Drosophila melanogaster: one gene and its partner. The gene in region 1 interacts genetically with each later gene. Each region holds a gene or a part of one and is shown in the gene's direction. Other genes may lie near its edges. The genes, in order: Vml and pip.

Region 1 (4,431 bases):
TCGCGGGCGTCTTGCGCTTGGACTCGCGATTCAGGGCGATTTCCATAGGCACTCCAGGCGACACAACGCCCACTTTCATCCACTCGCTGCCCAGATCCACGGACATCACGGCGGCTCCCTGGGAAAGGGCAATCCCCGCCAGCAGGGCGCTCAAAAGGAGCACGAGTTTCATGGTCTGTGCGGTTGAAAGGTGTTCAAATTAAAGCATTGTGCACAGGATTAGATACCCCATTAAGTACTCCATATGTATTTACCCTCTGCATTGTAAGATCTTTCTAGAAAGACCAACGATTTAACTTAAAAGGCTAACATTATACAAAAATTCACCAACTACTTTTACCTATATTTCTTAGCTGCATTAATAACACAAGAATTAGTTGGGTTTTCAACAGTTTTAACAGATAATTTGTGGGACGAAAAGTACGTCTGGCTTATGCGAGGAAACCTGTGTTCATGTGGCAGCGGAAATAGTGTTTAACTCGTACATAGATCTATATAGTTTACCGGTGAAATTACTGGGGAGAAATGGCTTTTAAAAAGTCTTCACGGAAAATCAGTGAAGAGAGCATTAACCTTTTACTTCCACAATTCTTCCGCGATTCTTTCACTTCTTTTTTTTTGCAACGCAAGCAGCTGTCTGCGCCCCGTCACCCTCCCTCTGCCTATCCTAACTCTTCCATCCTTCCAGCCAAGTACCGCTTTCCACTTACGTGTCCCGTTTCGTTCGTCGCTTCCAGCTGTCCTTTGCCACTCGCACTCTCCAATCGACTTTTATTCAGAAGTCACCTATTTATTAATTATTCAATTCACAACGTCGACTGCTATTCGAGTTGTTAAGTAAAAAACAGAGTCGCCGCGATTAAGAAGAACAAGCAGCGGCACACGAAGAAGAAGAGGAAAACGTTGACGTGTTGATTCGACCGGGCGATAGCAATCGATAAAACAATCGAGAGACTGTCACTTGGGAAGGCAGGCGCTGCCACATCGCACTGAAGTGACCGCCACAATTTAAATACTTATTGTGTGCAATTAAATTCTTTTTGTACAAAATTTCGTGATTAATTGCAAAACACCAAATGAAAACCATACACTAAATGATTATGACCCTTACTTGGTTTAAGGTCAATGTAAGAGCAGGAAGATTTTTCCTACTCATTGAAAATCTGAAGTTATAACATATGTAGTTGGCAATTCCAAGTTTTTTTCTTTCAGGCAGCAAGTCAACCCACATATTGATAGCTCAGCATTCCCGCGATGACCGAATTTTTGAACGAAAGTGCTGACACGTTATTAAACTATACTTTGTATACTCTTTTTCTTGAGATTATTGACACGATGAGTAAGTTATATTACAATTCGATAGAATAAAAATTAACTAAAATTAAATCACCTAACACGCTTAACGTTAAATTTGTTGTAATGCGAATTGTCCTGAAAAAATTACAAAACCCAAACTAGATAACAATTCTTTTTTTCAACAATTATCTTTAAATTAAAATTGAATAGGTTCCAACTTCCAAACGTATAGGGTATTGAAAGAGTTAAATTAAGTTTTCTGCTCGCATCGCCAACTCACCTATTCACGTTAAAAAGAAATAGGTGACTGGAAAACGATCGAATCTAGCGAATTTAAATGGAATCGCTTCAAATGCAGAATAGCACAAAGTGAACCCACCGAGTATCCAAGCACAGCAGACTGCAATTGGGCAATATTCTTGGTGAATTTGTAAATTTCGCTGATCTGTTTTTCTCTTGGCCATATAAAACCCGTCCCGTTTCAAAAAACCATAGTCTTAATTCTGTGAGCTATGTGTGGACGACGACTGCTGTTCTTGGCGGCCTTTGGCTGCCTTTTGGCCAACGCGTTTTCGCTTCCGGCGACCAGGAATGAGGAGTTCGACGACGGTTTCCCCGAATCCGAGTTCGACTACGAGGAGAGGCACACTAGGGAAATTCCGGCACAGGCCTATGCCCCACCGATCGTTTACAATTCGCAGTCAAGCTACTCGCCGGCGAAGGACCAAGGATATTCTGCTCCTGCCGCCCCGGTTTATTCGCCTGCCGCACCATCGTATTCAGCGCCTGCTGCTCCGTCGTATTCGGCACCCGCTGCACCCAGCTATTCAGCACCAGCAGCACCCAGCTATTCAGCACCTGCTGCTCCATCGTATTCAGCGCCTGCAGCACCCAGCTATTCAGCACCTGCATCCTCCAGCTATTCAGCGCCTGCTGCTCCGTCGTATTCGGCACCCGCTGCACCCAGCTATTCAGCGCCTGCAGCACCCAGCTATTCAGCACCTGCATCCTCCAGCTATTCAGCGCCTGCTGCTCCGTCGTATTCGGCACCCGCTGCACCCAGCTACTCAGCGCCTGCGGCACCCAGCTATTCAGCACCAGCAGCACCCAGCTATTCAGCACCTGCTGCTCCATCGTATTCAGCACCCGCAGCACCCAGCTACTCTGCGCCTTCTGCCCCATCGTATTCAGCGCAAAAGACATCCTCGTACTCGGCTCCTGCCGCCCCAAGCTACCATGCTCCGGCAGCTCCAGCATCGTCGTATTCAGCACCGGCTGGTCCTTCATATTCGGCTCCTGCTGCACCCTCATATTCAGCTCCATCTTACTCAGCGCCTGCCTCAAGTTATTCGGCACTCAAGGCTCCATCTTATTCAGCTCCAGCCGCTCCATCTTACTCCGCACCTGCAGCTCCCTCATATTCCTCTTCTGCTTCTCCTTCATATTCATCGCCTGCATCGTCATCTTATTCAGCGCCAGCTGCTCCGACTTACTCAGCCCCTAAGGCTCAGTCGTACTCCGCTCCAGCCGCTCCATCTTACTCAGCTCCTGCTGCTCCATCTTACTCAGCTCCTGCATCTTCATCTTATTCGGCACCTGCTGCTCCATCTTACTCAGCTCCGGCTGCTCCATCTTACTCAGCTCCTGCTGCTCCATCTTACTCAGCTCCAGCATCTTCATCTTATTCGGCACCTGCTGCTCCATCTTACTCAGCTCCTGCTGCTCCATCTTACTCAGCTCCTGCATCTTCATCTTATTCGGCACCTGCTGCTCCATCTTACTCAGCTCCGGCTGCTCCATCTTACTCAGCTCCTGCTGCTCCATCTTACTCAGCTCCTGCCGCTCCATCGTATTCAGCACCTGCATCATCTGGATATTCAGCAGCGCGAGCGTATTCAGCGGGCTCTGCAGCACCAGCTTCTGGCTATTCAGCGCCAAAGACTTCTTCCGGTTACTCAGCGCCTGCTTCGTCTGGATCACCAGCTGCTTCATCGTACTCAGCTCCTGCATCCTCGACCGCATCCTCTGGCTATTCAGCGCCCGCGTCGAAGTCATCGGGTTACGCTCGCTCCGAAATGGATCATCAGATCCTTGGTATGGCGAGGACCGCTGGCGGCTACGGATCAGCCGCTCCTTCTGCAGCTTATGGTGCAGCCTCTCTCCCCTCACCGCCGTGTCCCAAAAACTATGTGTTCAGCTGCTCGAGCGTTTTTACTCCAGCACCGTGCAGTCAGGGATATGGTTACTGAATGCAAATCCAAAGCTCCTGGCCAAACTGACTTGAAAACGAGATTAATAAAAAGCGAATTATGTGTGAAACGAATTGAGTTTACCTTTTTATGCCAAACAACTTAGGTCACAGAGATATTTCGACCCACGCAGTCCATTGAGATATGCAAGCTTTTGATCCCGAAAACAGCTTAAAGGTATTAAAAACCCGTGTTTGATTGACCGTTGAAGTTTCAAATCGACTTGGAATGGCGTTTTCTTTTCTTTTTTTCTTTTTTCTTTTGAGTTCTATATCCCAGTTTTATATATTCTTTAGTGAAATACAGGAACAAATCGTTAATGCTTTTCTTAGAATTTATTTGCAAATTGTTCACTTATGATGACCATCGCTAATGAATTATCACACTAAAAGCAACTCATAATAAATACAATACGTACATCTAGGCTCTGTATAATTAGATCATATGTTTGTCATTTGTCATTCAAATACAATTTTACTTGTCCTCACATTGTGAGTGGTAATTTCTCTGTTGCGGTCTATATATTCCATTAAAAAGCACTTATGTATCCTTAACTCCTCTACATGTATGTATATACTAAATATATGTATATATATATATATATATATATATAGAAACTCTATGAAGTTAAATCATTTGGAACATTCAAATCAAAAACGAAAGTGGAAAGCGGTGTTTTCCAACTTGCCGACTACACGATTCATTGATCGGAAATCAAGCTTATATAGAGTTGTATATATGTATGTATGTATGCATGTATGCATGTATGTATGTGTATGTGCTAAAGAGACTGGTCCATAGAGTAAGAGGTATTATTCAGTTGGCAAATCATAAGTGGCCCATTTTGAGTACCTCAAAAGTTCCTTCCTGTTCCCCCAATTCTTTC
Region 2 (5,158 bases), on another chromosome or scaffold:
ATGTTTGTTGCTTTTATTTATTATTAACACATTTAAATATCTGGCTATTAAAGTTAATAATTTTGCAGTTCTTTTTATGCCGTGGTCATTAATATACATATAATACATATATCTACTAAAAGTATTCACTCTAGATTAATGCAAATTGATGAAATTATTTATTTATCGTACGCACTTACATATAACATATACATATAATATATTAATTTAGAATTTGTGTAAATAATAAATTTATTTACCGAATACGATTTTAAATTTCTTTTATATATTTAAGCGGATGTATTAAACATGCCAACCAATTAACATGGAAAACCTCGCTGCATAAAATACACTGCCGAGTATTGGCCAAATATAATATATACGCACACCTGCCACAAACTCACACAATCAGCTATTTGTGTTTGCACCTAGGGCCAATTGCAGTTGTTTACAATCGAGTTGGCCAGCTCAGCGCAATCGGCACAGCCACAAAGGGACAGTTGGCAGCAAAAAACCATGGCATCGGACCGAAGATATAGCCAACATATTGTGAGCGACCACAATTGGACAGCTGATAAACTTAACCCGAAAACCGACAGCCTAACAACTCGTCGGCTTTTAAGTTTCGAAATCGGAGAAAGAGTCTGATCATTCAGATAGCTCAATTATCTCAGTCGATTTGGACAGTCATCAATGCAATAGGCAGCAACTTTACAAGTTTTTAGCTACTCACTTTCTTGGTACCAAATGCTGAAATACCTTTAATTATTACCAGATAAACACAAGACATGTGCCGCCAACGCATTTCGTTTTAATTTTACTTTTATGTTTTGGCTGTTTTTATGTTGAGGCTGGCGTTTTTCCATTTTTTTGCAATTGTTATCGAGAAATTTACACGAATTTTCAACTTGTTGCTGAAATAAAAAAAGTTTAATAAGACTAAACAATCAGTTTTTTGTCGGTCCTAAAAATGTGGACCTATGCAGATAGTTATGGGTAAACGCTTAAATTCGACAGCCGTCTGACGCCAGTTAGTGGACAAGTCAGTTACAGTGAGAGTTAAAAGTTAAGGTACCTGAAAAAGATAATTTAAAGTAATATATGATAAGACACACTTAAATAAAAGAGTAAAGGTATAAATATATTGAAATCTAGTATTAATTCTCGTAAATTAAAAATTCGTACCTCAATTTAATTTTTAAATGTTCTAATTTAATCGGAAAAAAGATTTCTTTGAGGCACTGTGCCATAAGAGTCAACTGTTGAATAAGGGTCAATGAGCTTAGCTTTGTGGACAGCAAGTGGGGAGATCGCGGAATCCAACTCTTGTAGAAACTATAGATTTGAGTTTGGCAAAAATTAAGCTTAGATCCCGAAGTTTGGCTAACGAACGAGGCGAGAAGACAGACATCGAGAAGAATCGCTTATATATGTACGAATGGCCAAAACTAATCGATGGAAATTACAAAAGCGGGAAGGTCAACTTTTCGACTGTCCATTGGGGGGGATGGGTTCAAAGGTAAACCTGTTTTTAATTCTAATTCTCCCTTCCTCTATGAAGAAATAGAAAAAACTAAAGTTCTTATTTTTGCCAACGTGGTTTGGATCACACGCAATATGTTCTATTCAACCGAACAAATTACCATTAAGGTCGGTAAACCAGCTGATCCAATAAAGGATATTGAAACAAGTGCCCGAAATTCGATTCCTTGCGCAGAGAATAAAGACACTTCGCTGTTTGGACGACCTAAATAAATATGTCTAAGTAGATTAATGTCAGATGTGGGGTAATAATAAAAATGTTGCCACAGACAAATGGGCTACAGTCACGTCCCCACGAAATCAGTCAGCCAGCGAACAAAGAGCGATCAAAAGAGCGAATAAACAGAGCCAAAGAGAGTCGAAGAAAATGGTAAAAGCAAACAGTGGTAAGCCGCCGCTGCCAACGTCTTAAAGTTGGCCAAAAAGGCGGCCAAGTGCCCCCAGGAACATTCAGTCAAGCCGCGATCGCCGAGCTCTACGGACGTCTATATCTCTAAGTCTTCGAATCGTGAATCGGAACTCAAGTGAACCCAAGTGCCGACCGGAAAATTCTTTCGGCCAAGAAAGGTCTTCGAGAACTAAGATCTCAAGCGATTGTGTTTTTTGTGTAATTGACATTGGATGTCTCTGAACGCCGAGCGATCGTACAAAATGAAACTGCGCGATGTGGAAAATGCCTTCAAATACCGGCGCATACCGTATCCCAAGCGGTAAGTGTGGTCTTCAGCCGAGAAAAAGGCGGCGGAGAAAAGATTTCTTTCACTCGAGAACGGTGTTCGTTTCAAAGGGGAAATGCAATTGAGTTCCAGTTTCAGTTAAATTGAAAACCGGTCATAATTGCCATTGAATGGCCAGAGAATCGAAATCGAGTTGGTAGATCGAAGATTGCGTTTGCCGCAGCGCTAAAGATTAAAAATACTCTGCTCTCGATTCTCCATAAAAAGCGCTTAACTTTCCGTTTTTCGCATCTGGCTAAAAGTGATAGTGTTTCAGGGTCGTTGTATTTGATAAATAAAATTAAATAAAAACTCCAATTGCTGGCCAGAGCAGTTCGAACATTCTTGACGGACTTTAAGTAGTGCCAGCCAGTAAATTAATTGCAGCTACACTAGAAGAAATAGATATTTTTGATCTTAAATTTAATATGAATCTCATCGACTTAGATGGGTTTATGTAGATCGACGAGCTTTAAGAACTTTATTTTAAAAAATTGATTGAGTACTTTTAATTAAGCTATGAAAAATTGTTACGAATGCTGATATGAGCTTCCAAGTACTGTATCAATTGAAAATATTTTCAAAAATTTATATATACAAAAAGGGGTCTATTATTTATCCTTTTATTTTTTTTGTATTTATTATTTATACTTTGAAAATGTTTTCTTATATTTTGAAGACTTATTAAAAGCAAGTATTAAAGCTTTGTAAACACTGTACTTCAACATTTAATTTTAAATGTTTCATAAACTTTTCTCTGTGCACTTGCGTCTGTCGTTTTTTCAATCTCTGCTCCAGTTAAAAGCTACAATCTTGTTTCTATTTTTTATTGCGTTTTTCATTTTCAATTCTTCTCATAATTCATTTGGTGTAGCACCTCGGGGCGGCAGATGAAGAGGAGGAAAACCACAAAAGCCGAGCTCACTTCAACTATTTCAAGTAGCCAAAAGAGCCGTGTCTTACCACCATCCTACCACTGCATTGTGTGGGCCTGCATTTTTCGGTGTTTGTTCTGGCCTTTTACAGAACCCAACTCGGCTCAGTTCGGGCCAAGTCAGCTCAGATAAAAGTTAAGAGCCCCCCAACTTGACTGCCCGCTCATTAGTCGATGGTCGATGGTCGACGGCCGGCGGTTTCTGCGGCCGCCCATAACAATTTTGGCTATTAAAAGGTGTTTAGGCCAGAGAACTGAGCCACTGCGTCCGCTATTGTGAAAGATTCGCTCTTTTTTCCGTTTGTATGGCCAAATTTGTTGCAACGAGTGCGTCGAGATGTAAACTAATGATATACCGACTACACATGTTATGGGCTAATTGGCTTTTGGGAAACTATTTCTTACCGTTTTTGTTGACTTTTTAAAAGGGTGTGAGAATTTGCTTTTCATTAAGGCAAAACGTGGTGAAGTCATGGCTCACAGCTATTTGCGTATAACTGTGAGATCTTAGCTCAAGCTAATGGCAAATTGGATCAACGACATACATATGTTTTATATTTTATTTAAACATTTTCCCACTTATTGAGTCCCTGCTAGATATCCTTTTTTCCTATAAAGCCCTCGTTAATTTTCGCGAAGCGAGGCCCATTTCCCGTTTATTTGCAGAACAAATTATTACATTAAATGTATGAATTACTGGCATTAATTAAACACATGGCTTAAATGTAGATATGTGTGATACTTTCTGTGGTTACCGCTGGCTGGAGCATAAATTTTACGCTCATTTTGACAATTTCATGCAGCTGCAAACTCTCAGTCAATCAGTTGGCCACTCAGTCAGTCTGCCAATCAATCAGGTAAACATTTATTTTTTATCCATTTCCGATGGCCAGGCGACTTAGTGAAACGAGTAATCTTGCCATTTGCACAACAAAATAGTGCAAATATTTGAATATGGATATGATTTATCACAACAGATACGAATTGTCCTGCAGAGAAACATAAATACATAAATTCCCAGCCATATTGCTGCGTACACTTACGTCGTTATTTGCACAATTCTTTTGTACGCTCTCAAATTGATATTAATTAATGAAATTAATTGGTTTTGCTTAAATAACTCGGCGACAGATGTTTGGCAGCTTCATTATCCGGACACGCGATAAATGAGCATACGTAGAAAATGAGTTCGTTGCACCCAGTTGAGAAAAATCAGTCGGAATCGATTCGAATCGATTTGAAAAGTCAAAAAAGACAATTATACGCTCAATGAGTGGAATGAAGTGCAGTTATGCAATAATTTCTTTCGAATTAGCATAAATTACGTTTCTGATTTGCTTTCCATTTGGATTAGGGTTTACCTAATACAAAAAACAAAACTCACTCTTATTTTCACTGCAAGCCGAAGCGTGACAGAAATTATTTAGAACGCCCCAAAAGAAAGAGGGCGAAGACTCAAGCCGCGCTTGAAAAGACTGTAGCTGGCTCTTCGCTGCCGAGTCTACAAGTCTTCAAGTCTTTCTTCTGTGCGCCTTTCTCAGCAATTCTTCTCTTTCTTGCCAGTTTCTTTCTTTCTCTGGGCGCCACGACATGCAGTCACTTACTCTTTGGTAATTATATTCAGTGATGTGATTTGTTTTTCTTTTCTTCATTTTCTTTCGAGTTTTGCATGCCGTTTTGTTTTATTTTGCCTGTCTTTCTGCAATGGAAATGATGCATATTGGGAATTTTACACGCTGCCGGTGGCCCGCGGGAAAGTTAATTATTGCTGTCTGTCTGCGGCGGGTGGCAAATTAAAAAATAATTATTAACAAAAACATATATATGTGCTAAATTTTATGTTTTAAAACGGCAATTAAAATGTTTTTCTTCACACACTAAGAAACAAACGAATTTATAGCTGTAGGGTTAAATACACGACTTTCTTTTTTATGGTTTACAAATATTTAGGAAAATATTATTAAAAAAGAATGAAACAAGTGAGTTG

Evidence for each region.
Region 2: of Vml (region 1) and pip, changing one enhances a phenotype caused by changing the other (phenotypic enhancement), as found in Drosophila melanogaster (one study listed by BioGRID).

What each region holds. Positions count from the first base shown.
Region 1 is NC_004354.4:2,274,165-2,278,595, forward strand, and holds Vml (vitelline membrane-like), read left to right. Parts: upstream 1-1,657; 5' UTR 1,658-1,808; coding exon 1,809-3,545; 3' UTR 3,546-3,617; downstream 3,618-4,431. Other genes in the region: Grp170 co-chaperone, read right to left, coding at 1-172. UniProt on the Drosophila melanogaster protein: Major early eggshell protein secreted by folicle cells into the perivitelline space and incorporated into the vitelline membrane. Localized sulfation by pip may be involved in embryo dorsal-ventral axis determination.
Region 2 is NT_037436.4:19,334,415-19,339,572, reverse strand, and holds the start of pip (pipe), read left to right. Parts: upstream 1-1,963; 5' UTR 1,964-2,142; coding exon 2,143-2,231; intron 2,232-5,158. UniProt on the Drosophila melanogaster protein: Sulfotransferase involved in dorsoventral axis patterning in early embryos.